Lonchura striata: one gene and its partner. The protein of the gene in region 2 purifies or fractionates together with the protein of the main gene of each other region. This does not show direct contact. Links are inferred from orthologs where the notes say so. Each region holds a gene or a part of one and is shown on either strand. Other genes may lie near its edges. The genes, in order: DLG4 and KCNJ4.

What was found.
Region 1: the proteins of KCNJ4 (region 2) and DLG4 purify together in Homo sapiens (affinity purification with western blotting, with the first as the bait; 3 studies listed by BioGRID). This does not show direct contact. The link is inferred for Lonchura striata from reciprocal best matches to the Homo sapiens genes KCNJ4 and DLG4.

What each region holds. Positions count from the first base shown.
Region 1 is NC_134636.1:1,782,985-1,797,860, forward strand, and holds the start of DLG4 (disks large homolog 4), read left to right. Parts: upstream 1-7,470; 5' UTR 7,471-8,556; coding exon 8,557-8,586; intron 8,587-14,876. UniProt on the Homo sapiens protein: Postsynaptic scaffolding protein that plays a critical role in synaptogenesis and synaptic plasticity by providing a platform for the postsynaptic clustering of crucial synaptic proteins.
Region 2 is NC_134607.1:23,756,353-23,771,228, forward strand, and holds the start of KCNJ4 (inward rectifier potassium channel 4), read right to left. Parts: upstream 9,099-14,876; 5' UTR 8,596-9,098; intron 5,615-8,595; exon of another isoform or gene 5,290-5,614; intron 1,028-5,289; exon of another isoform or gene 1-1,027. Other genes in the region: KDELR3 (ER lumen protein-retaining receptor 3), read left to right, coding at 14,512-14,602. UniProt on the Homo sapiens protein: Inward rectifier potassium channels are characterized by a greater tendency to allow potassium to flow into the cell rather than out of it.

The DNA of each region.
Region 1 (14,876 bases), on a different chromosome or scaffold from region 2:
CTGCTCTGGGGGGGTTTTTGGGGGGGTCCCGGGGGATTTTTGGGGGAATTTTGGGGGTCCCGGGGGTTCCCAATTGGGGTGGGGGGTCCTGGGGGGTCCCGGTGAAATTTGGGGAAATTTTGGGGGGTTTGGGGGCGATTTTGGGGGGTCCAGACACATTCCCGCAGCTCTGGGGGGGTTTTGGGGGGGTTCCTGAGCCATTTTTGGGGGTCCCGGGTGGTTTTGGGGTGTCCTGATTGGGGTGGGGGGTCCTGGGGGGTCCCTCGGGAAATTTGGGGGGTCCCGGTGAAATTTGGGGAATTTTTGGGGGGTTTTGGGGGGATTTTGGGGGGGTCCGGCCCCATTCCCGCAACTCCGGGGGGGTTTTTGGGGGTTCGCGGGGGGTTTTGGGGGGTCCCAATTGGGGTGGGGGGTCCTGGAGGGTCCCGCTGGAAATTTGGGGGGTCCTGAGGAAATTTGGGGAAATTTTGGGGGGATTTTGGGGGGTCCAGACCCATTCCGGCAGCTCTGGGGGGGTTTTGGGGGGGGGTCCCGAGCCTTTTTTGGGGGTTCCCGGGCGATTTTTGGAGGGTCCCAATTGGGGTGGGGGGTCCTGGGGGGTCCCGCTGGAAATTTGGGGGGTCCCGGTGAAATTTGGGGAATTTTTGGGGGGTTTTGGGGGATCCGGCCCCATTCCGGCAGCTCTGGGGGGGTTTTGGGGGGGTCCCGGGGGATTTTTGGGGGTCCCGGGTGATTTTGGGGGGGTCCCAATTGGGGTGGGGGGTCCTGGAGGGTCCCGGTGAAATTTGGGGGATTTTTGGGGGGTTTTGGGGCGATTTTGGGGGTCCAGACCCATTCCCGCAGCTCTGGGGGGGTTTTTGGGGGGGTCCCGGGGGATTTTTGGGGGAATTTTGGGGGTCCCGGGGGGTCCCAATTGGGGTGGGGGGTCCTGGGGGGTCCCTCGGGAAATTTGGGGGATCCCGGTGAAATTTGGGGAATTTTTGGGGGTTTTGGGGCGATTTTGGGGCGATTTTGGGGCGATTTTGGGGGGGTCCGGCCCCATTCCCGCAGCTCTGGGGGGCTTTTGGGGGGGGTCCCGAGCCTTTTTTGGGGGGTCCCGGGCGATTTTTGGGGGGTCCCGGGGGTGAAAATTGGGGTGGGGGGTCCCGCTGGAAAATTTGGGGGGGTCCCGGTGAAATTTGGGGAAATTTTGGGGGGTTTTGGGGCGATTTTGGGGGGTCCAGACCCATTCCAGCTGCTCTGGGGGGGTTTTTGGGGGGGTCCCGGGGGATTTTTGGGGGAATTTTGGGGGTCCCGGGGGGTCCCAATTGGGGTGGGGGGTCCTGGGGGGTCCCTCGGGAAATTTGGGGGTCCCGCTGGAAATTTGGGGAAATTTTGGGGGATTTTGGGGGGGTCCGGACCCATTCCGGCAGCTCTGGGGGGGTTTTTGGGGGGTCCCGGGTGATTTTGGGGAGGTCCCAATTGGGGTGGGGGGTCCTGGAGGGTCCCGGGGAAATTTGGGGAATTTTTGGGGGGTTTTGGGGGGATTTTGGGGGGGTCCGGCCCCATTCCCGCAGCTCCGGGGGGGTTTTGGGGGGGCTCCCGAACCTTTTTTGGGGGAATTTTGGGGGTCCCGGGGGCTCCCAATTGGGGTGGGGGGTCCTGGAGCGTCCCGCTGGAAATTTGGGGGGTCCCGGTGAAATTTGGGGGATTTTGGGGCGATTTTGGGGCGATTTTGGGGGGGTCCGGCCCCATTCCCGCAGCTCTGGGGGGGTTTTGGGGGGGTCCCGAGCCTTTTTTGGGGGAATTTTGGGGGTCCCGGGGGGTCCCAATTGGGGTGGGGGGTCCAGGGGGGTCCCGCTGTTAATTTTGGGGGGCCTCGGTGAAATTTGGGGGATTTTGGGGGGGCTGGGCCCCATTCTGGGGGATTTTGGGGGGCAGAAATTGGGGGCGGGGGGTCCTGGGGGGCCCTTCTGCAATTTTTGGGGCGGTTTGGGTGGAATTTGGGGGTCCCTGACCCATTTTGGGGGGTCCCTGATGGGATTTTGGGGTCCCCTCCCCAATTTTGGGGTGCAGGGGTGGGATTTTGGGGGTCCCATCCCCAGTTTCGAGGTCCCTGTCCCAAATTTCGGGGTCCCCTCCCCAATTTCGGGGTCCCAACCCCAAATTTCGGGTTCCCAGATCTGAATTTGGGGGTCCCCTCCCCAATTTCGGGGTCCCTGACCCAATTTCGGGGTCCCTGACCCAAATTTTGGGTCCTATCTCCATTTTTGGGGTTCCAAACCCAAATGTGGGGGTCCCAAATCCCCAATTTTGGGTCCCCTCCCCATTTTTGGGGTCCCTGTCCCAAATTTCGGGTTCCCCTCCTCATTTTCGGGGTCACATCCCCAATTTCGGGGTTCCTGACCCGAATTTGGGTGTCCCTGTCCCCAATTTCGGGGTCCCCTCCCCAATTTCGGGGTCCCATTCCCAATTTTGGGGTCCCATTCCCAATTTTGGGGGTCCCATCCCAATTTTGGGGTCCCATTCCAAATTTTGGGGTCCCATCCCCAATTTCGGGGTCCCCTCCCCAATTTCGGGGTCCCAAACCCGAATTTGGGGGTCCCCTCCCCAATTTTGGGGTCCCTGTCCCAAATTTCGGGGTCCCATCCCCAATTTCGGGGTCCCTGACCCGAATTTGGGGGTCCCAGATCCCCAATTTGGGGGTTCCATCCCCATTTTTGGGGTCCCAAACCCGAATTTGGGGTTCCCCTCCCCAATTTCGGGGTCCCTGTCCCAAATTTCGGGGTCCATCCCAATTTGGGGTTCCCCTCCCCAATTTTGGGGTTCCCATCCCCAATTTGGGGTTCCCCTCCCCAATTTGGGGGTCCCATCCCAATTTTGGGGTCCCAAATCCCAATTTCGGGGTTCTCATTCCCAATTTGGGGTCCCAAATCCCAATTTTGGGGGTCCCATTCCCAATTTGGGGTTCCCCTCCCCAATTTCGGGGTCCCATCCCAATTTTGGGGTCCCATTCCCAATTTCGGGGTCCCAAATCCCAATTTGGGGGTCCCAAATCCCAATTTGGGGTTCCCCTCCCCAATTTGGGGTCCCAAATCCCAATTTGGGGGTCCCCTCCCCAATTTCGGGGTCCCAAATCCCAATTTCGGGGTCCCAAATCCCAATTTCGGGGTCCCATCCCCAATTTCGGGGTCCCAAATCCCAATTTCGGGGGTCCCATTCCCAATTTTGGGGTTCCCAAATCCCAATTTCGGGGTCCCCTCCCCAATTTCGGGGTCCCATCCCCAATTTCGGGGGTCCCATTCCCAATTTTGGGGTTCCCAAATCCCAATTTTGGGGTCCCATCCCCAATTTGGGGTCCCAAATCCCAATTTCGGGGTCCCAAATCCCAATTTCGGGGTCCCCTCCCCAATTTCGGGGTCCCAAATCCCAATTTCGGGGTCCCCTCCCCAATTTCGGGGTCCCAAATCCCAATTTCGGGGTCCCCTCCCCAATTTCGGGGTCCCAAATCCCAATTTTGGGGTTCCCCTCCCCAATTTCGGGGTCCCAAATCCCAATTTCGGGGTTCCCATCCCAATTTTGGGGTTCCCATCCCAATTTTGGGGTCCCAAATCCCAATTTCGGGGTCCCAAATCCCAATTTTGGGGTTCCCATCCCAATTTCGGGGTCCCATTCCCAATTTCGGGGTCCCATTCCCAATTTCGGGGTCCCATTCCCAATTTCGGGGTCCCATTCCCAATTTGGGGTCCCAAATCCCAATTTGGGGGTCCCAAATCCCAATTTTGGGGTCCCAAATCCCAATTTCGGGGTCCCAAATCCCAATTTTGGGGTCCCAAATCCCATTTTCGGGGTCCCAAATCCCAATTTTGGGGTTCCCCTCCCCAATTTCGGGGTCCCCTCCCCAATTTCGGGGTCCCAAATCCCAATTTTGGGTTCCCAAATCCCAATTTCGGGGTCCCCTCCCCATTTTTGGGGTCCCATTCCCGATTTTGGGGCGCAGGCGCTCGGCGGCTCCTGGACGAGTTTCTGGGGGTCCCCCCCCGGCTCCGGGCCCGGCAGCTCCTGGGGGTCCTGCAGAGCCGCCTGTTCCAGGCCCTGCTGGGTGCGGAATTTGGGAATTCCGGGAAAATTCGGGAATTCCGGGGAAATTCGGGAATTCTGGGGAGAATTTGGGGGGGATTTGGGGGGAAAATTTGGAATTTGGGGGGCATTTGGAGGGAAAATATGGATTTTTGGGGGGTTTTTAGGGGATTTTGGGGAGAAATTCTGGAATTTTGGGGGAAATTTGGGAGATTTTGGGGGATTTTTGGGGATTTTTGGGTCATCTGGGGGGTTTAGGGGGGATTTTGAGGGGAAATTTGGGAATTTTAGGGGTTTTTTAGGGGATTTTGGAGGAAAATTTGGGGATTTTGGGGAGAAATTCTGGAATTCTGGGGGAAATTTGGGAATTCTAGGAAAAATTTGGGAATTTTGGGGTAAATTTGGGAGATTTTTGGTGAATTTTGGGGATTTTTTGGGGGATTTTGGGGGGTCCTGGGAGGTTTTGAGGGTCCTGCTGAGCCGCCTGTTCCAGGCCCTGCTGGGTGCGGAATTTGGGAATTTCGGGGGAAATTTGGGAATTTTGGGGAGAATTTTGGGGGGATTTGGGGGAAAAATTTGGAATTTTGGGGGGTTTTTAGGGGATTCTGGGGAGAAATTCCAGAATTTTAGGGGAAATTTGGGGAATTTTGGGGAATTTTGGGAAAAATTTGGCAATTTTGGGGGAGTTTGGGGAAAATTCGGGAATTTTGGGGGAGTTTGAATGGGATTTTGGGGGGTTTAGGGGGGATTTTGGGGGCAAAATCTGGAATTTTGGGGGGATTTAGGGGATTTTGGGGAGAGATTTGGGAATTTGGAGGAAATTTGGGAATTTTAGGTGAAACTTGAGAGATTTTTGGGGAATTTTGAGGAATTCAGGGGAAAGTTTGGGAATTTTGGGGGAATTTGAGTGGGATTTTGGGGGGAAATTTGAGGATTTTGGGGAGAAATTCCAAAATTCTGGGGAGAAATTGAAGAAATTTGGTGGAAATTTGGGAAATCTGGGGGAAATTTGGGAGATTTTGGGGAATTTTGGGGGATTTGGGGGAATTTTGGGTGAACTTGGGGGGATTTGGGGGATTTTGGGTGATTTGAGGCGATTTTGGGGATTTTTGGGGGATTTGGGGGATATTTTGGGGGGAATTTGGGTAATTTGGGGGAATTTTTTTGGGATATTTTGGGGAATTTTGGGAATTTTTGGGGATATTTTGGGGAATTTTGGGAATTTTTGGGCTCTCACCCCGTTTTTCCCCCCCAGACATCCAGGAGAGCTACGAGAGCTCCGTGAGCGGCCCCGAGCCCCGGCCCCGGGTAACCCAAAAATCCCCAAAATCCCCCAAATTCCCCCCAAATTTTCCCCTAAAAAAATCCCCACAAACCCCCACAAAATTCCCACCAAAAAAAATCCCCCAAATTTCCTCAAAATCTCCCCAAAAAACCCCAAAATCTCCCCCCGAATAAACCAAATCCTCACAAAAAAAACCAACCCGAAATCCCCTCAAAAATCCCAAAATCGCAACCAAAAAAACCCCCAAAATTCCCCAAAATAACCCAAAATTTCACCAAACCCCAAAATTCCCCCAAAATCTCCGCGTAAAAACCCCAAATACCCCCAGAAAAACCAACATTTCCACCAAAAAAACCCCAAATTACTCCAAAATCTCCACAAAAAATACAAAATCCCAAAATCGCCACAAAACCCCCCCAAAATTCCCCAAAATAACTCAAAATCCCCCAAAATCCACCCCAAATTCCCCCAAATAACCCCAAAATTTCCCAAAAACCCAAAATCTCCACAAAAAACCTCCAAAATTTCACCAAAAAACTCCAAAATTTCCCCAAAAATCCCAAAATCGCCGCCAAAAAAACCCCAAATTCCCCAAAATAACCCAAAATTTCCCAAAAAACCCCAAATCCTCACAAAACCTCCCAAAATTCACTCCAAAATCTCCCAAATTGCCCCAAAATCCCCGAAATCCCCCCAACCCCTCCCCCCCTTCCGCCCCTCCCCCCGCCGCTGCCGCTCCCCCAAAAATCCCAAAAGTTTCTCCCCAAAATCCCCAAATTTCCCCCGAAATTCCCAAAATTTCCCCTCAAATCCTCCTAAAATCCCCAATTTTCCCCCTAATCTCCCAAACCCCAAATTCTCACCCCAAAATTCCCAATTTTCCCCCTCGAATCCTCCCTGAAATCCCAAAATCACGAATTTTCCCCCAAAATTGCCCAAATTTCCCTCGAAAATTCCCAATTTCCCCCTAAATCTCCAAAATTCCCAAATTTCCCCCAGAAATTCCCAAATTTCCCCCCAAAATTCCCGATTTTCCCCCTAAATCTCCAAAATTCCCATTTTCCCCCCAAATTCCCCCCAAAATCCCCATTTTTTCCCCAAACCCCCCAAATTTCCCCCCAAAATCCCCAAATTCCCCTCAAATCCCCAAAATCCCGAATTTTACCCCCCAAAATCCCCATTTTTCCCCTCAAATCCCCCCTAAAAATCCCGATTTTCCCCCAAAATTCCCAAGTTCCCCCCCTAAACCCCAAAATTCCCAAATTTCCCCCCAAACCCCGAAAATTCCCGATTTTCCCCCAAAATTCCCAATTTTTCCACCCCAAATCCCCCCAAACCCCCAAATTTGCCCAAACCCCCCAAATTCCCGAATTTCCCCCCCAAAATCCCCCCAAATTCCCAAATTTCCCCCAGAAATTCCCGATTTCAACCCCCCAAAATTCCCCAAATTTCCCCCCAAAATTCCCCAAATTTCCCCCCAAAATTCCCCAAATTTCCCCCCAAAATTCCCCAAATTTCCCCCGAAAATCCCCAAATTTCCCCCTCCAAAACCCCCAAAATCCCCAAATTTCCCCAAAACCCCAAAATTCCCCAATTTCCCCTCAAAAAATCCCCAAATTTCCCCCTCCAAATTCCCGACTTTTCTGCCCCCAAAATTCCGCCCAAAATTCCCGAATTTCCCCCCCGAGCCTTCATCCCTCCCTCCTCCTCCTCCTCGCGCTGCTCCTCCTCTTCCTCCCCCCGGCGGCTCCTTCATCTTCATCTTCATCTTCATCTTCATCATCTTCATCATCTTCATCTTCATCTTCATCATCTTCATCTTCATCATCTTCATCTTCATCTTCGTCATCTTCATCCTCATCCTCATCTTCATCATCATCTTCATCATCCTCATCATCTTCATCTTCATCTTCATCTTCATCATCTTCATCATCTTCATCCTCATCCTCATCTTCATCTTCATCCTCATCTTCATCTTCATCATCCTCATCTTCATCATCTTCATCTTCATCTTCATCATCTTCATCATCTTCATCATCTTCATCTTCATCTTCATCTTCATCTTCCTCCTCCTCTTCCTCCTTCTTCATCCCCTCGGCTCCTTCATCTTCCTCCTCCTCCTCTTCCTCCTCCCGGGCCTTCCTCCCGCTCCTCCTCCTCCTCCCGGCCCCTCCTCCCGAGCCTTCCTCCTCCTCCCGCTCCTCCTCCTCCTCCTCCCGCTCTTCCTCCCTTCCCGCTGCCGCATCTTCCTCCTCCTCCTCTTCCTCCTCCTCCTCCTCCCCCCAGATCTTCATCCCCTCCATCCTCCTCCTCCTCCTCCTCCTCTCCATCCTCCCCCCCCCGAGCCTTCATCCCTCCATCCTCATCCTCCTCCTCCTCCCGAGCCTTCATCCCTCCATCCTCATCCTCCTCCTCCCGAGCCTTCATCCCTTCATCCTCATCCTCCTCCTCCCGAGCCTTCATCCCTTCATCCCCTCCATCCTCATCCTCCTCCTCCTCCATCCTGGTCCTTCATCCCCCCTCCTCCTCCTCCTCTTCTTCCCGAGCCTTCATCCCTTCATCCTCTCCATCCTCTTCCTCCTCCTCCTCCCGAGCCTTCATCCCCCCCCCCCTTTTCTTCATCCTCCTCCTCTTCCTCCTCCGGGGCCTTCATCCTCCTCATCCTCCTCCTCCTCCTCATCCTCCCCCCCTTTTCTTCATCCTCCTCCCCCTCCCGAGCCTTCCTCCTCCTCCTCCTCCTCCGGAGCCTTCATCCCCTCATCCTCCCCATCCTCCTCCTCCTCCTCCTCCTCCGGGGCCTTCATCCCTTCATCCTCCTCATCCTCCCCCTCTTTTCTCCCTCCTCCTCCTCTTCCTCTTCCTCCCGAGCCTTCATCCCTTCATCCCCCCCCCCCCTCCTCCTCCTCCTCCTCCTCCGGGGCCTTCATCCTCCTCCTCCTCCTCCCCCTCCCTCCCGAGCCTTCATCCCTTCATCCTCCTCCTCCTCCTCCCCTCCCTCCGGAGCCTTCATCCCTTCATCCTCTCCACCCTCCTCCTCCTCCCCCCCATTTTTTCCTCCCTCCTCCTCCTCCTCTTCCTCCTCTTCCTCCGGAGCCTTCATCCTCCCCATCCCCCCCCCCTCCTCCTCCTCCTCCCCCTCCCGAGCCTTCCTCCCCTCCTCCTCCTCCTCCTCCTCCTCCTCGCGCGGCCCCCCCGGCCCATGAGCGGCCGCCATGGATTGTTTGTGCATCGTCACCACCAAGGTACCCCAAAACCGCGCGGATTCCCCCCAAAACCGCCGCCGTTTGTTGGGGGGGGGTCTCGGCAGGATTCGGGCCGATTTTGGGGGGATTTGGGGTTTTTTGGGGGGCTCCTGGGGGTGGGGGGGATTCGGGGTGACTCGAGGGGGGGATTTGGGGGCTCCGAAGGGGTTTTTGGGGGGGCTCGAGGGGTTTTGGGGTGTTTTTGGGGGGGTCTGGGGGGGATTTGGGGGGTCCTGAGGGGATTTGGGGGAGATCTGGGGGTCTCGAGAGGATTTGGGGGGATTTGGGGCTCCTGGTGGGGGGGGGGGATTTTTGGGAGATTTGGGGGGGGGCCTCGAGGGGATTTTGGGGTTTTTTGGGGGCTCCGAGGGGATTTTGGGGGCATTTGAGGGGGTCTCGAGGGGTTTGGGGATTTTTTGGGGGGGTCTCGAGGGAATTTGGGGGCGTTTGGGGGGGTCTGGGGGGGGTCTCGAGGGGATTTTGGGGGTCTCGATGTGGCTGGGGGCAGAATTTGGGGCTCCAAGAGGATTTTTGGGGTCCTGGGGGGATTTTGGGGGAATTTGGGGGTCCCAAGGAGATCTTGGGGGGTCTCGAGGGGATCTGGGGGTCCTGGGGAGGTTTTGGGGGTCCTGGGGGATTTTGGGGGGTCCTGGAGGGGATTTTGGGGGGTCTGGAGGGAATTTGGGGGGTCCTGGGGAGGTTTTGGGGATCCCGAGAGGATTTTGGGGGGATCTGGAGAGATTTTGGGGGGTTCCGATGGATTTGGGGGGATTTTGGGTCTCCGGGGTTGATTTGGGGGGTCCTGGGGGGCTCCGGGTGAGATTTGGGGGATTTGGGGAATTTTGGGGCATTTTTTGGGGTTCCTGTGGTGGTTTTGGGGCAGATTTTGGGGGTTTGGGGGAGAATTTGGGGGGTTTTCCGACCCCTGCTGGATTTTGGGGTTCCCGGGGGGGATTTGGGGGTTTTTTGGGGGTTTTTGGGGGTGGGGGAGGGGCGGTGTCCCCCCAAATCTCGGGGGTGTCACCACGTGGCGGCCGCGGCGTTTCCCATGGCAACGGCGGGGGAGGGGCGGCGCACGTGGGGGCGGGGGGGGGGCCCCAAAATCCCGCCCGGAACCCCCAAAATCCGCCCAAAAAATCCCAAAATCCGCCCAAAACCCCCAAAATCTGCCCAAAAACCCCCAAAATCCGACCAAAATACCCCAAATCCCACCTGAAATCCCAAATCCCGCCCGGAACCCCCCAAAATCCGCCCAAAATACCCCAAAATCCGCCCAAAATACCCCAAATCCCACCCGGAACCCCCCAAAATCCACCCCAAAAACCCCAAAATCTGCCCAAAAAACCCCAAATCCCGCCTGAAATCCCAAATCCCACCCGGAACCCCCAAAAATCCACCCCAAACCCCCCAAAATCTCCTGGAATTCACCCTGAAACCCCAAATCCCTCCCGAAATCCCAAATCTCGCCTGGAATCCCCAAAATACACCCAAAAAACCCCAAAATTCGCCCAAAATACCCCAAATCCCTTCCAGAACCCCAAAATCCCGCCCGGAATCCCCCAAAAGCCGCCCCAAAACCCCCAAAATCTGCCCAAAAACCACCAAAATCTCCTGGAATTCACCCTGAAACCCCAAATCCCTCTCAAAATCCCAAATCCCGCCTGGAATCCCCAAAATACACCCAAAAAACCCCAAAATCTGCCAACCCCCCCCCAAAATCCTCCCCCAAAACCCCAAAATCTCCTGGAATTCACCCTGAAACCCCAAATCCCTCTCGAAATCCCAAATCCCGCCTGGAATCCCCAAAATCTGCCCAAAACCCCCCAAAATCTGCCCCCAAAAAAACCCCAAAATCTCCGAAAATTCACCCTGAAACCCCAATCCCGCCCAAAATCCCAAATCCCACCCGAAACCCCCAAAATCTCCTAAAATTCGCCCTGAAACCCCAAAATCTCCCAAACCTGGCCCCGAAATCCCAAAATCTGCCCTGAAACCCCAAAAATCCGCCCAAAAAACCCCAAAATCTCCTGGAACTCACCCTGAAACCCCAAATGCCGCTCGGAACCCCCAAAATCCGCCCAAAAATCCACCCTAAAACCCCCAAAATTCCCCCAAACTGGCCCTAAAACCCCAAATCTGCCCTAAAACACCCAAAAATGCCCCAAAACCAACCCAACATCCCAAAATGCCCCAAAATCGGCCCCAAAACCCCCAAAATCCACCCTAAAAAATCCCCAAATCCCCCAAAACCGCCCTGAACCCCCAAAATGGCCCCAAATTGACCCTGCGAACCCCAAAATGCCCCAAATTCGGACCCAAATCCCCCAAAATCGGCCCCAAAATGCCAAAATCCCCCAAAATTGGCCCTAAAATCTTCAAAACCCCCAAAATCGGCACAAAACCCCCAAAATCTCCCAAAATCAGCCCTAAAAACCCCAAAATCTCCCAAAATCAGCCCTAAAAACCACAAAATTTGCTTTCAAAAGCCCAAAATCGGCCCTAAAACCCCCAAAATTGACCCTAAAACACCAAATTGGCCCTAAAAATCCCAAAATGAGCTTTAAAAACTCCAAAATTTGCCCTAAAACCTCAAAATTTGCCCTAAAATCCCCAAAATTGCACTAAAACCCCCCAAATCCCCCAAATCGATCCCAAATCCCCAAAATTTGGCCCTAAATGGCACCAAGAGCCCCAAAATCCCCAAAATTGGTCCCAAAATCTGCAGAAATTCTCCTAAAATCTGCAGGAATTGGGAAAAATTCACCCAAAACACCCAAAATTCAGCTGAAATCCCCGAAATTCACCTGAATTTCCCAAAAATTCGCGTTAAATCCCCCCAAAATTCACCTGAACCTCCCAAAATTCACCCGAATTCTCCCAAAATTCACCTGAATTTCCTAAAATTCACCTTAAACTCTTAAAATTCACCTAAAATCCCCCAAATTCTCCTGAATCTCCCCAAAATTCACCTTAAACCCCCAAAATTCACCAGAATTCCCAAAAATTCACCTTAAATCCCCCAAAATTCACCTTGAACCCCAAAATTTCACCTTAAATCCCAAAAAATTCACCTCAAACCCCAAAAATTCACCTGAAAGCCCCAAAATTCACCCAAAATTCACCTGAACCTCCCAAAATTCACCCGAATCCCCAAAATTTCACCTGAAATCCCCAAAATTCTCCCAAGATTCTCCTGAATCTCCCCAAAATTCACCTTAAATCCCCCAAAATTCACCTGAATTTCCCAAAAATTCACCTTAAACCGCCCCAAAATTCGCATTAAATCCCAAAATTCACCTTTAATCCCCAAAATCCCTCCAGGATTGGCCCGGACATCCCAAAATCCGCCGGAATTCTCCAAAATCCACCCAAACCTCCCAAAAATCCTCCCAAAATTCCCCCGAAATCCCCCAAAAATTCCCCCCCCCCCAATTCCTTCTTCCATCCCTGAGTTCCCCTCAGGAATCCCCAAATTCCCCAAAATTCCCCAAAATCCCCCAAAATTCCCCAGAATTCCCCCCAAAATCCCACAAAATTCCCCATAATCTCTCCAAAATCCTCCAAAATCCCCCAAAATCCCCAAAAATTCTCCTGAAATCCCCCAAAAATCCCTCAAATTCCCCCATAATTCCCCCGAAATTCCCAAAAATTTCCCAAAAATTCCCCAAAACCCCTCAAAATTCCACCAAAGATTCCCCCCAAATCCCCCCAAAATCCCCCCAAACCCCCAAAATTCCCCCAAAATCCCCCCAAAATCCCCAAATCCCCCAAAATTCCCCCAAAATCCCCCAAACCCCCCAAATTCCCCCAAAATTCCCCCAAAATCCCCCAAAATTCCCCCAAAATCCCCCAAAATCTCCCCAAAATCCCCCCAAATCCCCAAATCCCCCAAAATTCCCCCAAAATCCCCCAAAATTCCCCCAAAATCCCCCAAAATTCCCCCAAAATCCCCCAAAATCCCCCCAAACCCCCCAAAATTCCCCCAAAATCCCCCAAAATCCCCCCAAAATTCCCCCAAAATCCCCCAAAATTCCCCCAAAATCCCCCAAAATCCCCCCAAACCCCCCAAAATTCCCCCAAAATCCCCCCAAACCCCCCAAAATTCCCCCAAAATCCCCCAAAATCCCCCAAATTCCCCCAAAATCCCCCAAAATTCCCACGCCGTTGCCCCGGCGACCGAGCCCCGCCCCCTCCCCCCGCGCTGTTCCCAGGCCGCGCCCCCTCCCCCCGCGTTGCCATGGCAACGCCTTCCCGCGCTCGTTGCCATGGCGGCGGCGCGCCAAAAGCGGCGGCCCCGCCCACTCGGCCCCGCCCACGTGACCGCCGGGCGGCGCGCGTCGCCGTGGAGACGGCGAGGGGGCGTGGCCTGAGCGAAGGGGGCGTGGCCTGAGCGAGGGGGCGTGGCCTGAGCCAGGGGGGCGGGTCCGGGGGCTCAGAGGGGTCACACGAGGACAGGTATGGGGGGGGGGTTTGGGGGTCCTGGGGGTCTTTTTTGAGGCAATTCTCGCTGGTTTTGGGGGTCCCGAGGCTCCTTTTGGGGGTCCTGGGCGCCGTTTTGGGGCAATTCTCGCTGGTTTTGGGGGTCCTGGGGATCGTTTTGGGGGTCCTGGGGGTCGTTTTGGGGTCCTGGGCGCCGTTTTGGGGCAATGCTCGCTGGTTTTGGGGGTCCCGAGTCCCTTCTCGGGGGTCCTGGGCGCCGTTTTGGGGCAATTCTCGGTGGTTTTGGGGATCCTGGGGGTCGTTTTGGGGGTCCTGAGTCTCATTTTGGGGATCCTGGGGGTCGTTTTGGGGCAATTCTCGCTGGTTTTGGGGGTCCTGAGGCTCCTTTTGGGGGTCCTGGGGTTCGTTTTGGGGTCCTGGGCGCCGTTTTGGGGCAATGCTCGCTGGTTTTGGGGGTCCTGAGTCTCATTTTGGGGATCCTGGGGGGGTCCTGGGCGCCGTTTTGGGGCAATTCTCGCTGGTTTTGGGGGTCCTGAGTCCCCTCTCGGGGGTCTTCTTGGGGGTCCTGGGCACCGTTTTGGGGCAATTCTCGCTGGTTTTGGGGGTCCCGAGTCCCCTCTCGGGGGTCTTCTTGGGGGTCCTGGGCGTCGTTTTGGGGCAATTCTCGCTGGTTTTGGGGGTCCTGGGGATCGTTTTGGGGGTCCTGGGTGCAGTTTTGGGGCAATTCTCGGTGGTTTTGGGGGTCCTGAGTCTCATTTTCGGGGTCCTGGGCGCCGTTTTGGGGCAATTCTCGCTGGTTCTGGGGGTCCCGAGGCTCCTTTTGGGGGTCCTGGGGTGGTCCTGGGGGGTCCTGGGGGTCGTTTTGGGGTCCTGGTGCTGCTCTCGATGGTTTTGGGGGGTCCCGGGGGTCTCTCTGACCCCTCTTGATGATTTTTGGGGGGTCCCTGAGGGTTTCTCTTGGCCCCTCTCGATGGTTTTGGGGAGTCCCGGGGGTCTCTCGGACCCCTCTCGATGATTTTTGGGGTCCCTCCCGATGGTTTTCGGGGGTCTCGGGGGTCTCTTGATGACCGTGTGGGTCCCTGGGGGTCTCTCGGACCCCTCTCTGTGATTTTTGGGGGGTCCTGGGGGTCATTTGGGGGTCCTGGTGCTCCTCCCGATGGTTTTGGGGGTCCTGGGGGTCTCTCTGTGATTTTTGGGGTCTCTCTGACCCCTCTCTGTGATTTTTTTGGGGGTCCTGGGGGTCGTTTCGGGGTCCTGGTGCTGCTCTCGATGGTTTTGGGGGTCCCGGGTGTCTCTCTGTGATTTTTGGGGGTCCTGGGGGTCTCTCTGTGATTTTTGGGGGTCCCGGGGGTCTCTCTGTGATTTTTGGGGTCTCTCTGACCCCTCTCTGTGATTTTTTGGGGGTCCTGGGAGTCGTTTCGGGGTTCTGGTGCTGCTCTCGATGGTTTTGGGGGTCCCGGGGATATTTGGGGGGTCCCGGGGATATTTGGGGGGTCCCGGATCGTTCCCAGCCCCCCCCGATCCCCCCCCGAGCCCCTCCCCCCCCGTTATCCCCTCCCCCCCGTTAATCCCCGCTAATCCCGGATCCTCCGGGGGGGGTCCCGGTACAACCGGGGGGGTGTCCCGGGGTTATTTTGGGGGGTCCCGGGGATATTTGGGGGTCCCGGGGGGGGTCCCGGGTGTATTTTGGGGGTCCCGGATCATTCTCGGACCCCCCCCAGCCCCCCCCCCCCGTTATCCCCTCCCCCCCGTTAATCCCCGCTAATCCCGGATCCTCCGGGGGGGGTCCCGGTGCCCGGGGGGGGTCCCGGGGGTCCCGGGGGGGCCGATGGCGGGAGCGGCCCCGGCCC
Region 2 (14,876 bases):
GTCCTCCTGGAGTGCAGGCCATGCAGACTGTTGACACTGACAAGCAGTGTGCCACCTTCTGCAGCTTCAGCAATGCTTGTTTTGGCCACCAAAATCCCTCTGTTTAGAACATCAGGATGTTCAGGAGGGAGAGGAGAGCCATATACCTCTGCATCTTGTTTCTGAGGACAACTGGAACCACCAGCATTCCAAGGTCTATGATGTCAAGTTCCACGTGTGCTGAGTTGTCAGAAGCAGGGGATGGGGAGGAAGCAATCAACTGCTGTCCTGATTCTGTCTAGGACTGCATTAATTTTCTTCATAGTAGCCAGCACAGTGTTGGATTTAGTATGAGAATAATGCTGATAACACAGACATGTTGGAGTTGTTGTTAAGTTGTGGCTTACTCCAAGACAAGGACTTTCCAGCTGCCCATGTTCTGCCACTGAGGAGCTACACACGAATCCAGGAGGGAGCATGGCCAGAACAGCTGGTCCAAACTAGCCAAAGGGATATTCCATGCCACAGAACATCATGCCCAGAATATAAGTGGGGGATTTAACTGAAGGGGCTGACGAATGCCTGGGGACGTGCTGGGCATCAGTCATTGGGTGGTGAGTAATGAGGCTGTGCATCACTTGTTTCTGTTGGGTCCTGTTATTCTCTCTTTCTGTGCTTATTATTACTATTTCTGTTATTGTTGTTGATGATCATAATATTAATATCATTAACATATTCATTATTGTTATATTTTGTTTCAGTTATTAAATTGTTCTTATTTCAACCCATGAAGTTTACCTTTTCGATTCCCCTCTCCACTGTGGCTTGGGGCAGTGAGAGGGAGAGAGGGGCTGAGTGATACCTAAGTTGTCTGCTGGAGTTAAACCACAACAGCTGCAAAAGGTGTTTTTGGCAACACGAGGGTAAGCTGTCCTCCTGGCTGTAAAGCTGACCCCAGCTTGGGGATGTTGCCAGTGAGCAGAGAGCAGCTCATGAAGCTCCCTGAGACCTCCAACGTAAAGGAAGGACAGGGACAATCCAGCCAGGCAGGTAGCATGGGTCAGAGGGGACAACCCTGTCCCACAGGGTACTGAGACGTCTCCACCAGCAAGGTCAAGCCACTGGCCCTTGGTTGGGGCTCACCCTGGACAGGGGCAGGAGACATCACCAGCACTTTGGCCACAGGCATCGCTCTAAGCTGAACGGCCAGCGGAGGGTCCACGCTGTGGTGCTGCCAATCTGATTCATCCCCTGCTGCCAGCTGGCACAGGGAAGTGTTAGTAATACCGAGTGCCACAAACTCAGAGCGGCACGAGCCAGGAGACGAACAAAAATAAACACGTTTCCCACTTCCACCCCAACACACCCCCACAGCGCGTGGTGCCGCCATGGGAAGGACAGACAGGCAGGCAAGAAACGCCTGGGCTGGGGACTGCTGCCACATTGGGTCACTGTCCCTCCTCAGCAGCTGGTGGGCCAGGGCCACCACTGAGATCCCTGATGGCAAAATCGGTTCCATCAGCTTGGCAAGGCCTGGGGGCTTACCAGGAGCCCAAACCCTATGTAAACATAGTTCAAGTGGCTGTGAAAAGGTCCCATTGCAACTTGGAAACCTGAAATGCAAACGGAATGAAAGGGGAAGGCTCAGAGGTGTCTCCAGCAGAAGGGGATTATATTCATATCCTGAACAGGCAGCTGCCTGTCACATGGACAGGGGGGAGGAAAGCCTGGCTGAGGACAGAGATACAAATCCAGAGCATGCCTGAGGGCATTTCTTGGAGCTTGCTCTGTCTCCTGAGACCCACATGTGAAGGAGGAAGCTGCAGAGTCAGTGGAAATTCCTATGGAGAGGTATGAAACCAAGCTGGTGGGTGCAGCAAGGAGAGATGCTAGGCAGGAGGCTTCAGCCTGGACAGATGCCTCTCCATCCCTCTGCTGCCTGTCCTGTGTGTACATGAACACCCACGAATTTCATGGCCTGCAGAAGCCCCCCAGCACTTTTGAAAGCTGCTGCAGCATGGATGTCACAGCCACTGGGTTGCAGCATTGCAACAGTCAACCAGATGGGTCTCCAGGGCCCAGCAGCTGCCTCTAGCCCCAAGGCATGTGCTGCCCTTCCTTCTTACCCAGTGACTCTCCCTCCTCCTGTGTCTTAGACTGAGCAATTCCAGGGACACCACCACGGTGCTGCAATCATCTCCTCCTTCCCGTGTGACACCATGCTCCAGCAGCACAAGCCATCACACCAGCCCACGCTGCCACTCCAGTTCTGCTCTGGCCCTCAGCAGGCACGTGGGGCTGCACTGCTCCTGTCCCTTTCCAAGGGATCTGCAGGATAATAAGGTCAAGAAGGTGTTTGGTGCCAGGGCAGTACCTCCATTGCTCCATCCCTGTGTACAGGGATGGAGTCCCAGTCTTTCTCCAGCCCCTGCCAGAGTAGATCATATATTGTCAATCCTTTCTTACATTTGCAATGGAAGAGTCTCATGAAACAGAACAGAAAAGTCCACGCTAAAGCACTCCCCCACTTCTCTTTTTATAACAACCATATCTGGTGCTCTGGGACATACACTGTGAGCGACAACGATGGAAAAATCCCAGGGTATTTTTACACTCTTAGTCTTTGCTTTATCTGGAGTTGTCTGGCAAATGCTTCTCTCCAGTCTGTGGTCAATACCACAGCCGCTGGTTGCACTTTGCTTTGTGCCCTTGTCCCTGTTACCGGCTGCATGGCACCGGCTGGCTTGGGATCAGCATCCACATCCCCATCCTGCCAGCTCGGGCACGGTGACAACACGGCAGACGAACTTCTCGCCTCTCGGGGAGCCAGGGCGGAAACGCCCGCAGCTGAGGAGGGACCTCTCTGCCTTTTTGCAGAGCCTTGCAGACCCACAGCATACAATATGTCCTCTCCATCCTCTTCGTAACTCCATCTCTCCTGTTCCTCAGGAATATTCCCAGGGTCCATGCTGGGGCTGACAGGGCAGTCTGTGCCATGGGTGGCTGTCCTGCCGCAAGAGCCAGCGGCCGAGCTCTCTCTGCTCCGTGCCGGCAGGGCAGGCTGCCAGGCGCTGTATGGGCACACGCGAAGGCACAGTCACTGTGCAGGAGAGTTTTACCATATTAAAAAGGCAACTGACATATGGAAGGTGAGGGGAGGAAGCTGTAATCAACTCTATACCATTTTTATATACACATTTCTGCCTTTTCGTTCAATAATTATAAATAGATCAGGTGCCAACAGTCCCCATCTGCCCCTCAAGGCATGATCCGCTGACCAGTTTCCCTCTCCAAAAGAGGATTTTATTCATGTGCTTCTGCTCGGTTTTATATTTTGGAGTGGAGTGAGAAGGGGGGATATTTTTTCCCCCTGTGAAGCTCTGGAGCCTGAGGATGGGTAATATGAAAACAAAACAAAATGATTTGAAGTTAAACCATCTCAGTGTGTGACTCAGAGCTATTCATAGCTCCCTGAAGCCAGCTGCAGCAACGGAGCCAGAAGGATTCTGCCCGTATTATTATTCCAATTACCATCTGAATTAAAAGTTTGAGCAGTGATCAGCCCACATGCTGATGGGAGGGGGAGAGAAGAAAGCAAAGAGAGAAGGAGAGAAAGAGTGAGAGGAAGAAAAAACAGATAAAAATGTGAACCACACAAAGGTCCCCGGGATGACAAAGTCAGGGAGAGGCACAGAAAGGTGACAGCATCACCTCCCGCCTGCTCCCACACCGCCCCAGCGATCCCTGCTGCGGCTGCACCGTCCAGACAATGGCGCTGTGAGAACAGCTGCCTACTCCCCAGCATCGCAGACTAGGTGGGGGATACCCCATGGTGGGGCTGGTGGGACTGGCACCAGCATTCACCCACTCCTCTTTGGCCAAAATGAGGCTGGGAGTACATGACACAGGGGCTGGGGGGTGGACTGAGCAGGATTGTAAAGAGAGGATGCTGCTGGATTGGCAGGTGGGGAGAAGTCCCTGCTTTTTCTTGCTGAGTGAGGAAGGTGGGTGTTATTCTCTGTAGCTGGCATCATAGGAAAAATTAAATGCTCAGAAGGGCCCTGGCCTTCCCTGGGTGGTGTTCTTGGACAAAAGGGAACTAAGCTTTTGTAGCAGCCAGGGTGCAGATTGCATCCCACCTGCTCCTGAGGAAGCAGAGGGGCTGACATGCCTCCAGCACCCTGCCACCAAAACCAGAGACTAGACCCAAAAAGGTTAGTGCAAAACCTGCAAGAGGTGAAAAACTGAAGGTTCTGGGGTGTCCCTGATGTCCTCACATCCCAGGCAGATACAGTGCACTCAGGTCACCTCCTCCAGCTTCCCAGCACAATTGCACAGTGCAAAGGGTGTCTTCATTAATCACATCTCTGGAGCTCCCTTCACTGGGCGTCCTGCCCTGCAGGAGCCCTGGTGTAAGGCCATTCCCAACAGCATCCCTTCACCATTTCTTCAGCACAAAGTGCCTGGCCATGTGGGATGTCTTGATGCCTTTTGGCTAGTCAGGGGACAAGGATAATTATCAGTGTGCAGGAAAAGAGGGGGTAAGAGTGGCTTGCATCATCAGCCTGCCTGCTGCAGTTGTGGTCTTGACAGGGCAGGGATGGACTGCCGGTGACTCTGCCAAGCACCCAACAAGGCAGATGCCTGCAAATAATTTATGAATGATGATAATAACAGTGACAGCAGCAAGGGCAAGCAATAACCAGGGCAAAGCCTGCTCTGCGCCAAGTCCCCGATCTAGAGAGGCTGCAGCCACTTCTCCACACCCAGCTGCTGCACGACAGCTGAGTGCCCAGCCTGGCCTGGCTGCTAAGCACTAACCCATCCGAGACAGGGGAAAAAAATCTCCCTTCACCCCGCCTTGTCGCTGGGCTAAGAGGGAACTGAGCAGAGCCACGAGCCTCCTGAAAGGGCTCCAGCTGCTCCCCTTTCGGCCATCTCTGCTAGACACCAGAAACAGAGCAGAGGGAGCATCCCAGGTAAGCTGGAAAACGCAGAGAGTGGATCAAGTATTTCACTACAGGTTTGCTGACTTCTATTGCTGCGGCTTCATCCGTCAGGTTTAACAAGCACATCTGGAAGGGGTCAAGCCTAAGTGCTGCCGAACTCACGCAGTACAGAGGATTCCTTCCCCTACCCTCCATCTCCCCGACAAGGAAGGGCTGGGGGAGAGCAGAGCGAAGCGGGACACGGTGGCTGCACCTGCACCCTGCCAGGACTGCGATATCCCCCCCGCCGTCACCACGGGTGCTGTCATACCCTGCTCCTCCGGCTGCGACAGCCGCTCCCGCTGGGATCCTGCCCGCTCACCTGCCTATCGCCCGCTGGCGCTCGGTGCTGCCCGCAACTTCTGCCTGCTCACCTCCACCCGGACACGAGGCCGTTTCTTGGTGCTGGGAGCAACGGGAACGGGAGAGGAGAGGAGTTCTGGGGCCGCTGTGCCTGGTCCCGTGGCAGGCACCGCCTCTTCATAATGCCATCGAGCTCTTCAGAGGGATGAAGCGCCCGTCTGCCCGGCCTCTGGGATCCCCGGTGCCCTTCAGCCCCGCACTCACCGTGCTGCTGGCGGGGCCGATCTATACAGCTCTCCCGGGGCTTTACCCTCCTCTACAGCAGAGTCACTTTCGACATCCACTTGCTCTGAGACTCCTTTCAGCTGGTCAGTCTGCGCGGGTGCTTTAGCGGGCTGCCAGCAGAAAGGGAGCCGGCGAGAGGAGAGGGGAGAGCCAAGCTGAAGGCAGGAGAAAGGAGAGCAGGCAGCAGAGAAGCAGCTGGGACAAGGCCAGCAGCTCTTTGTACTAATGCTGGTACCGCTTGCCAGGGAGGGAAGGAGGTGGGGAGATGTGTCAGGGTCGTTTCTCTGAGCCTTTTGCAGGGGACAGAATGGGGGACGCTGCTTCCCTCATTATCGAACAGCACCAGGCTCCCTCTGAAGTGTTTCAGGAGAAATGTTGCCATAGAAATAAAACAGCCGTCCAGATTGTGAGGGGCAGACCCACTGCCATGGTGGCAGGGGCGTGGGCAGAGCGGCAGCAGGAGCCCCTGGCTGGCGGCGTGGGGAGGTGCCGGGCTGGAGTACCTTGTTCTCCACCCTCCAGTCTCTGATTTCCAGTGAGAGCAGCAGTGGTGCTGCTGTGCCAGCATGGCTGGTGCCAGGAGATGGTGGGCATCTCCTTCCCAGATAGACCAGTGAGTGAATGACAAAACTGTCCCTGGAGCAAGCTGCCTGCTGCCAGGCTCCCAGGAGGACAGGCGTGGAGGTGCATGAGTCTCTGGGGCCACGGGGACAGGGTCACATTGCAGACAACTCCCATCCCTCAGCAGCCCGTGCCACGACACCACCTTCACTGCTGCAGAACAAGCCTCAGAGGTCTGAGGGCGAGAACCAGCTCAAAAGCAGCTCTTGCCTGTCCCAAGCCCCTCTCTGCCAGAGAATCAGTATCTCTCCCAAGAAGGGGCTCCAATCCCAGCCATCACCATTAAAACCACCTTGTCTGGCGAGCAAAACCGGTGCCGGTGGCTCTGGGGGTTCCCTGTGAGGTCTCTCCGCCCTGGTAAGGGGCACAGGAGCAGTGACGTCAAGGAGCAGGAATTTAGCCTGACTCAGTTTCGCAGCGTTGCGAGGCAAGCGCAGACGGCTCCAGTCGGCCCGTGCCATTCACAGGAAAGCGAGCGGCAGCGGGAGGCTGGGAGCCGCGTGGATGAGTAAGAGATCGATTGCTGAGACGCCAGCATCCATCTATCGATCCCTGGCCGCAGTGCCGGGTTAAGCCAGCCCAGTGCAATAACGAGGCGGGATAGCGGGGCTTGCTGGGGGCACGGGGCCATTAACTGCTCCGCTCGGCGTCCGCACTGATGGCAGCGTGCGGCGGGCACAGGTATCCATCACCGCGCCTCCTGTCACTGACACCACCCCAGGGATGCAGCTGCTTCCCGGGCGTGGCCGGTGGCTGAGCTTGGGGTGGCCGAGAAGCTGGAGGGGCCAGTGGGGATTGGTCCTGCCAAGAAACTCCATCCCTCCCCAGCCACCTCCTGGCTTTCCTTGAAAACCATGGCGGGGGACTGCAAGGGACAAGGACCACTGCCTGCCCCCTGCCAGCACCACACATCAGGGCACTTGATCTGAGCACTTTGATCCCCAAACGGGGAGAGATGGAAGAAAAAAATGGTGGAGGAGAGGGAACCCGCTTCCCTCCAGATCAGCCCTCTCCAGCTTATCCTTTGTGTCCATCCTCACCTTTTGTCCTCTTCCCCACCACTCCCTGTCCCCAGCAGATTCATGCTTCCCACTAAAGCACAATTTGCCCTGTATTGATTACTATTTTCAGTGTCTGCAAACAGGAGTGGCCACACACTGCCAGGGTGTCTCAGGCTTCTGTGGGTGCCACTTCTGGTGGTGGATGGAGAAGGGACACATTCCCATGTCTCTGTCAAGATGTATTCCCCATGCACCTTCCTGATCCCGCCCAGGCCCCGGATAACCCCAAGCCCTGGGCTCATCTCCACACCTCCCATCTCCTGTGGATGACTCCCCCCAAGCAGCCAAGGAGGGCACAGAGCAGGGATTGAAGGTAGCCTTGGAGCTGTGTCACCTCTGCCATGAGTTTCTGTCACTCTCTGCCCTTCACAGCACACCCCCAAGGGGAGCAAGGGGAGAAGGGAGAGGCCCCAGAGATGCTGTTTGCTTTGCCATCAATGGAGTCAGGGCTGGGCTGCAGGGATAGGAAGCGCCAGGCTCTTGCCAAAAGGATTTGGATGACTCCAGGCTATTTGCCCAGGAGGGAGGGCCTTGGGGGCTGATGGGCCAGGGATGTCCGGGGTGATCTGCCAGCACCATGCAAACCTGCCTGCCCACTCCTGTCCTGGTGGGGAAGCCGACCTTCTGAACAGGGAGCAAAGGCAGAGTTTTCCTGGTAGTTTGCTCCTGGCTTCCTCCTGAGCTCCTTCACCCAAAGCCACTATCCAGAAGACCCTTTGCACCATGCCTGTCTGGGGGGTGTTGGACCACCACTGGCATGATCAGCCTTGCTGGGACTAGGAGAGGTGGACGGCAATGGAGAGGGGGACAGATCTGAAGCCCAAAAAGCTCCACAAGCAGCAGGAAAACAAACACATCCACTTCAGCCCCATTTGCACCCGAGAGCCTGAAGAGCAGGCCTCCAGCTGCCTCCTTCTGTGTGAACTGGCTGGGACCAGCACAGAGAAGAGTCTACAGAGCAGGAGAAGTAAAAGGTGAGCAAGATCCAGCCCAGGGCGAGAAGACACTAAGAAAACACGGGGAACTGAAAAAATGAAGAAGTTACCTACAAAGGGACCGAAGTTAGGGTGGCGAGAGGGCGGGGAGGGAAGTTGGGGAGGTTTAGAGGCAGGAGCCCACCCCTGCCCCTCGGCCCGTGGCCGCCCCGGTAGCTGTGCGTGCATACGCCATGCACACAAGGCAACTTTATTATTCACTGGCACGCTCACACGAAGCCACGCATCTCTCCCCAAGTTATATTTATAGCTGTTCCTCAGAGCGAACGCTAATGAAACAATACATTATTTTCCGAAGGGAGAAAAACCCTTCGCGCTCTCATGCCGGTGCGGAGAGCAGCGCGCCCCGGCACCGCCTCTTACCCGGGTCCTGCCGAGGGCTGCCGCCTGCTCCAGCCGTGCCGAGCCAACATCAGAGGAAGGGAAAAGCGCCCGGTCTTTCCATCTCACCACGAAATGTCTCAGCCGGACCGGAGGAATCAGGGGAGTCTCTCTGCAGTCCTCGCTCGCCTCCAGCCTAGGTTTATTTTTTTCCCCTCCGAAGAGCTACTTCTCCGCTGCGACCTGCTCCTCTCCTAACTCTGCCCTGCCCACGCCAGCGCTCTCCTTCTGCCTCTGCCTCTCAGAATTTTTTGCTCCCAGGAGCGTCCATCCCACGGAGTGCTGATGTGCCTTCGTGGCTCAGCGACGGGTTTAGGTCTCCCCCTCCTGCCTGGCTCCCTCCTTCTCTGGCATGATTTGCCCGTGCCCCTTGCTGCCCCCCTGCTCTAGTCCCCAGATCCCCCCTCTCCCTGACACTCTTCCTCCCTTTGCGCTCCGCTCCCTTTCCCTGGCTGCCTCTCCCCCTCGCTGATTGCTATGCAGTCTGTAGCTGAGAAGTCAGTAACTCTGTGGTAGGATCCAACAGCTTTCCGCTACTTTAGCCCATCCTCGCGTGTGAGCTCAGAGCTGCGGAGCCGCCATGGGGGAGACAGAGCGACCATCCCCAGCGGGAAGGGGATGGTGGGGCCGCCAGAGAGGTGAATCCTCCTCCTGGGCGGCTGCACAGAGATTAAATAACTACCGTCAGAGGGCTTTTTCCCACCTGGATTTGGGGTGCTGGGCTGACACCTAGCCCCGAGGAAGGACCAGGCTCTCCCAGCTGATGCTGTTTGCTGTGGGGCATTGCTTCCCCACGCTACAGAGCTGGTGATTTCCTGCCGGGAAGAGTAATGCTGGGACAGGAGCTGGACACGGAGGGACTAGACCTCAGGGCTCCAGGATAGTGCACAGCCATCCTGCTGGGAAACCTGTCCAAGAAACCTCTCTTGGGTCTCCACGGCCAGCAGCATCTCAGAGGCTTTAAAAAGGTCACTTCTTGGTGACAAGGAGAGATTTTGCAGCAAAAACAGAGGCTGAAGAGACTCCTGACTACACAGGCAGTGGCTGTAGGCACAGGATCCTGGGGACAGCCCTGTTCCAGAACAGCATTTTTGAGGACATGGTTTCTGTCTTGGTGCCTCATATGCTGTCCGCAGTGTTAAGGCCTGTGCTGAAAAGTCAAAAAATATTTAAAAACCCATTTTTTGAGTCTCCTCTGGGTCCCAATCCTGCAAGGACTATGACCCTCCCTCCCAAAACCCTCCCAAGGTGTGGCATATAGGATGACCCCTGCACAACATGCTGTGGAGCCTGCTGTGCCCTGCCAGCACCAGTGAACACTGCGGTGGTGAGCACAGCCTGTTCCCACCTGGCAAAGCCACTGCCGGGGCAGCAGAGGGTGCTGGGGTGGGTTTAGTAGCTCCATGCAGATGAGCAGCTGCAAACCAGGAGCACATCAGCCTGCTGAATGGGTCAGTTCACCCCAGTGCACCCATGGCTGCTCCCTACTGCTCCTGGGGAGCTGCTGCACCTGGATGCAGCAGAGCCAGCCCATCCACTCCCTCTGCAGCCATCCCTATGAGGACCTCATTCAGGTTCAGAGGGTACGTATTTTCCCAAAAGCTTTGTCTCTAGGACCTGTTTTGGGGCTGCTTCCCTAGAGCTACTGACCAGTATCTGCCCAGCTGCTCTTTGGCAGAGTGCACCATCCCTCTGGCACCACAGCAGGCCTTTCCTCTTCATGTGGTAAAGGGATGAAGATGGGCCTGAGACATCTTGCTCCTTCCCAGAGCGGGCAAAGCCAAGTGCAGCCCTGTGACCGCCTCAGCCTCAAGTGGGGTGTCTCCCTCTCTGCCTTTTGCTCCTTACTGCTGGCTCCCTCTGAGGCCTCACCACATTTCCCTCTGCCTTTGCAGCAGGAGGGTAGATAGCTGCACCTTGTGCATGGTGTGGCAGCCTGACACTGCCAAGAGACAAGTGGCCCTTCCAGAGGCAGCGAGAGGGGCATGGGGACGCCACATTGGAGATGTCACCGGCCCCTTGCTGTCCTTGTGCCCCCCAAGTGCCATGCCCTGACCGCCCCATGGCCGCCGGCCCCAGCAGCGGGGTGGCTCACACTCGCCGCCCCCGCCCGTCTCCACCAGCACCGTCTTTAATAAGAAGTGTGGAATATTTTAGCACCTATGTAAAAACCACCACAGACGGTGGTGGCAGCCGTTGCCAGGGAGACGCTCCCAAAAATAGCCCCACTCCGCCAACCTTTCCCAGTGCCACTGTGGGGATTGAGGGAGGCAGAGGGATGGAGGGATGGAGGGATGGAAGGGTGGAACGAGGGACGGATAAAGGGATGGAGGGATGGAGGGAAAGAGTGCCATACAGATGGACAGAGGAATCTTTGGAGGGATGAATGGAGAGAGGAGGAGTGAGGGGTGGTTGAAAAGATGGAGGGAAGAATGGATAGAGAGAGAAAGGGATGAGAGGGATGGCTGGAGATGGATGGAGAGATGGGTACAGTGGAAAGCAAGAGCTCCTGGGAAGGTGAGAAAACACTGCCTGCCTCTTCTCCTGCCTGGGCATCAAGAGACGAGCAACCTGTATGACAGCAGCCCCTACTTGGACACCCGTGGTCCTGCACTCCTGTAATACCAGCTAAGCCAGCACAAACCGTCAAGCCTTCTCTGTGTTGAGCAGGTCTGACTTTGGGTGTTTAAACCAGAGAGCAAAATTCTGGGCTCCTTAGCACCTGCCGTGTTCCGTCTGCAATCTTCCACCGACCATCCTATCTCTGTCTGTCTGTCCCCAGCATTCCAGAACTGCCCAGCCAACCTGATCTGGTCATGGGGGCAGAGATGGTGAGACACAGAGGTGACCCATGGTGCTCAACCCCACCGTGTTCCCCAGCCCCTCTGGGAATGCAGAATCATTGCCCTCTCTTAGACAAATCCTTGAGACTGCCCACTCTCCCAGAAGGTCTGGATGTAGCCTGATCTACATCCTGCAGCAGAATTGGAGGGAGACACCTGGAGAACCACCAGGGGCAAAAGCAGAGAAGCCTTTTTGATAGAAGGAAACATTTGTTTTAGTGATTAGGAAATGCCCTTTTGTCCCTCTTCTCATCCCACAGCCATCACCTCATAGGCAGAGGTGGAGAAGGGCCCTGAATTAAGCTGCTGCTCTCTGGCCCAGTGGCTCTGCAGGAGGAGCCTTCCAGACCAGCAGAGGCAGAGGGAAACCCCAAAAATAGAACTAAAGGAGGAGGGATTGGGGGGGGGGGGGAGAGAGAGAGAGAAAAATAAACCAAACAACCCCAAAATCTCATTTTTAATATCAAATCCCAGCTCACTTTCCTCCTTGTCACCCTGGCGACATTCCTTGTGGTCACCATGGAAACGGGAGGCATGGAGAGAGCATCACCATGCGGGGTGGTGGCAGCACCCGGCATTATTTTGGGAGGCAGGGAGACACCCGGCGCAAGGAACTTGGCATTGTGGCAGGGCAGGAGGAGGGAAGGTTTATTTTTACTTGGTCCCACTCCATGTGCCAGTTTTGTCTCTAAGAGCCTGGGTGTCCCTTGCACTGCAGCAGCTTTCCTATGGCCCCCATGTACCACACAGGGATGGTGTTCCATGGGGACACCCCAGCCTTACCACCCTGTTCCAGCTGGGTGGGCTTGATTGGGCTGCTCCCATGAAGTCCCTCTAATGGTCACCTCAGCTGGTGGTTCCAGGTGCCAGAGTGGGAGATAATGCTGGGAGTTGGGCCCATCAGCTCTTCTTGGGAAGGTGCAAGATGAGGAGAATAAACCTTTGCCTTTCTCTGGAGGGGACTTCTTTCCTTGGGTGGGACAAGAAGCTGCAAAGAGGAGTGCAGGGACAAGAGAAAGACAAAGGCTCTCAGACATTGCACACCAGGGGGTTGGAAGGGGATTTCTTGGAAGAAAGGACTCCAAATCTGTTCCTTCCCCCCAACTTTACATCCCTGCTCCATGGATCAAAACTCTGCCTACCTGCAAAAGGACCTGGGGTACCAGGGACCTGCAGGGCCACCAGGGCTGGGGCTTGGCTTTTACCAGCACCCACATGGCCTTGTGAAGCCCTGCTGAAATCCCAGGCAGCTCCACTCTGATGTCTGGAAACCCAATTCAGGCAGTCCTTGCCCTTTGCCAATCGTCTCTTTTGCTCTAACCCACCCTTGACCCACCGCAGCAACCCCTGCCTCAGTGCCCTGGCTGGGAACAGGCAGGGACGTCTCCAGTTCCGTGGGGCTGAGCAGGTGTTTTCCAACCCGGCCTGTGAATCCATCTGGAAAAGCCCTGTGATGCAGGTGCTGGAGCGTCAGAGAGGGAAAACACAACCGCCAACCTAATGGGCAGGGAGGAAATGTATGCAAATATATTCAGAAAGGGAGCCGGTGATGCTAATAGGCTTGTTAATCCTCTCGGAAAGCACCAGGAATAATATTTTTACACTTTGGTCGTTAAGCATTTTACTCCAAGCAAGCCCATAAGGAGAGAGAGACATGCGTAGAGGATGGCCAAAAGTCATGGCTGGGGACAGGGAGGGCAGCAGCCAGAGCCAACTTTGGGACAGGAGCAGGCAGGATCACACAATCCAAGGGTAACCAAATTAGACCCGTGGCCAGATGCGATTTGCTCAGGGCAAGGCGACAAATTACAACTTCCATTTGGTTGTACTAAAGCAGCTTTGAATTAGTGATTAGCTATTGACTACCTAATTGCTGGATCTTGATGCAGAGGTCTCTCTGCTGCTGCCATGAGATCTCCCTGTGTAACTGCTGCTCCGAGGACAAGGTTCATCCAAAACAAGCTGGTCACCCGGCTTAATATATTTTCAAATATATTAAAACTTTCTAACATTCACTACTGAGCTCTTTTCTGTGAAATCTATAAAACCAGCAGCAACCACATGCTTCTTTCACTCAACAAATTCCCTACATTTTTTGTAACCCTCTGGAATCCAGGATTTCCTTCTAAGAATCCAGGATTAATATTTTCAGTGAAGTTTGTTTCAAACCAGCCCTTGGGAGAATATTTTCTTTCTCCATGGCTGTGCTCAGGGATCCACTCTGCTCCAGATAGGGCATCTGAAGGAAGGGGTGTCTGGTAGGGCAGACACCAGGGAATGGCTGTCGCTGTGGAAGAGCTGCAATGGGTTGATAATTCAAATATCTCTCCACTTCTTCTTTGGCTGCAGGAGCCAAGGTGGAGCACTGGTGAGAAGGTGCTGCAGGTGGGATGGGGCCGGTAAGGGCAGAGAGCAGAAGGCTGGAAGCAGCACAGAGGTTACTGCACCCGTGGCGAATATTCCTGGAAAGTCTGGCCCTCGCCGGAGGGTGTGTCCTCAAGGCCAGAGGATGGGAATCCTCTTCCCTCTGCCTTTTCCCCTTTAACCACACTTCCGTGTGTAACTTGAGACAAGCAGGGAAGAAAAAATAGGAAGGGGAAAAAAAAAAAGAAAGGGAAAAATAGCGCAGTTATTCCCGCCTCTGCCTCCTCCTCTCTCTCCTCCCCGGCCAGCCAGGAGCCACGTCACCGTCACCCAGCGCTGGCTGTGGGGCTGCTCAGCCTGGAGAGCTCTCCGGGACACAAACTCCAACTTTCAGCCCAAAGCAGAGGGAGAAAGGCCCTGCTCTGGGTGAGGGAGAATCCACCTCGGTGGAAAAGTAAACAAGGGAAACATCCAGGCTGGCAGGGGAAAGGCATCTGCAGCCACGGGACAGGGGAGACGGCACTTTGTGTTAGGAGAAGGAAGGGCTCCGTGCTCAGGGAGAAAGGAAAGTTGAGCCGAAGGAGACCGTTCATTCAGCCGAGGCTCGGTGGAGAAAAACTTCCTGCCCTCGCCCTCTCTGCCTGCAGAAAGAGCCCCAGCCCCTCCAGCCCAGAGGAGTCCCCCCAGCACCATGAACATCTTCCGCATCCTGGGGGATGTCTCCCACTTGCTGGCCATCATTATTCTCCTGCTGAAGATTGTGAAGTCCAAGTCCTGTGCTGGTGAGTGCTCCCATGTCCCAGGGAAGGAGGGTGGCCCTTCTCAGAGGGCAGTTCGGTGAAGGGTACAACAAAATGGGAGCTGGAAAGGCCAGTGATAGCCCATAGGAACTGGCAGCCCTCCCCCATGGGCTCTTTGAGGGAAGTCATCCTCTTTCTCTGGGAGGTTTCCCGGCTAGGAGAGGGCTGTGTTGGATGTGATGTGGCAAGGTGTACAGCCTCAGGCAGGTGTTGGTCTCAGGGTGGTGAGGTGAAGGAGAGGGTGACAAGGCTGGAG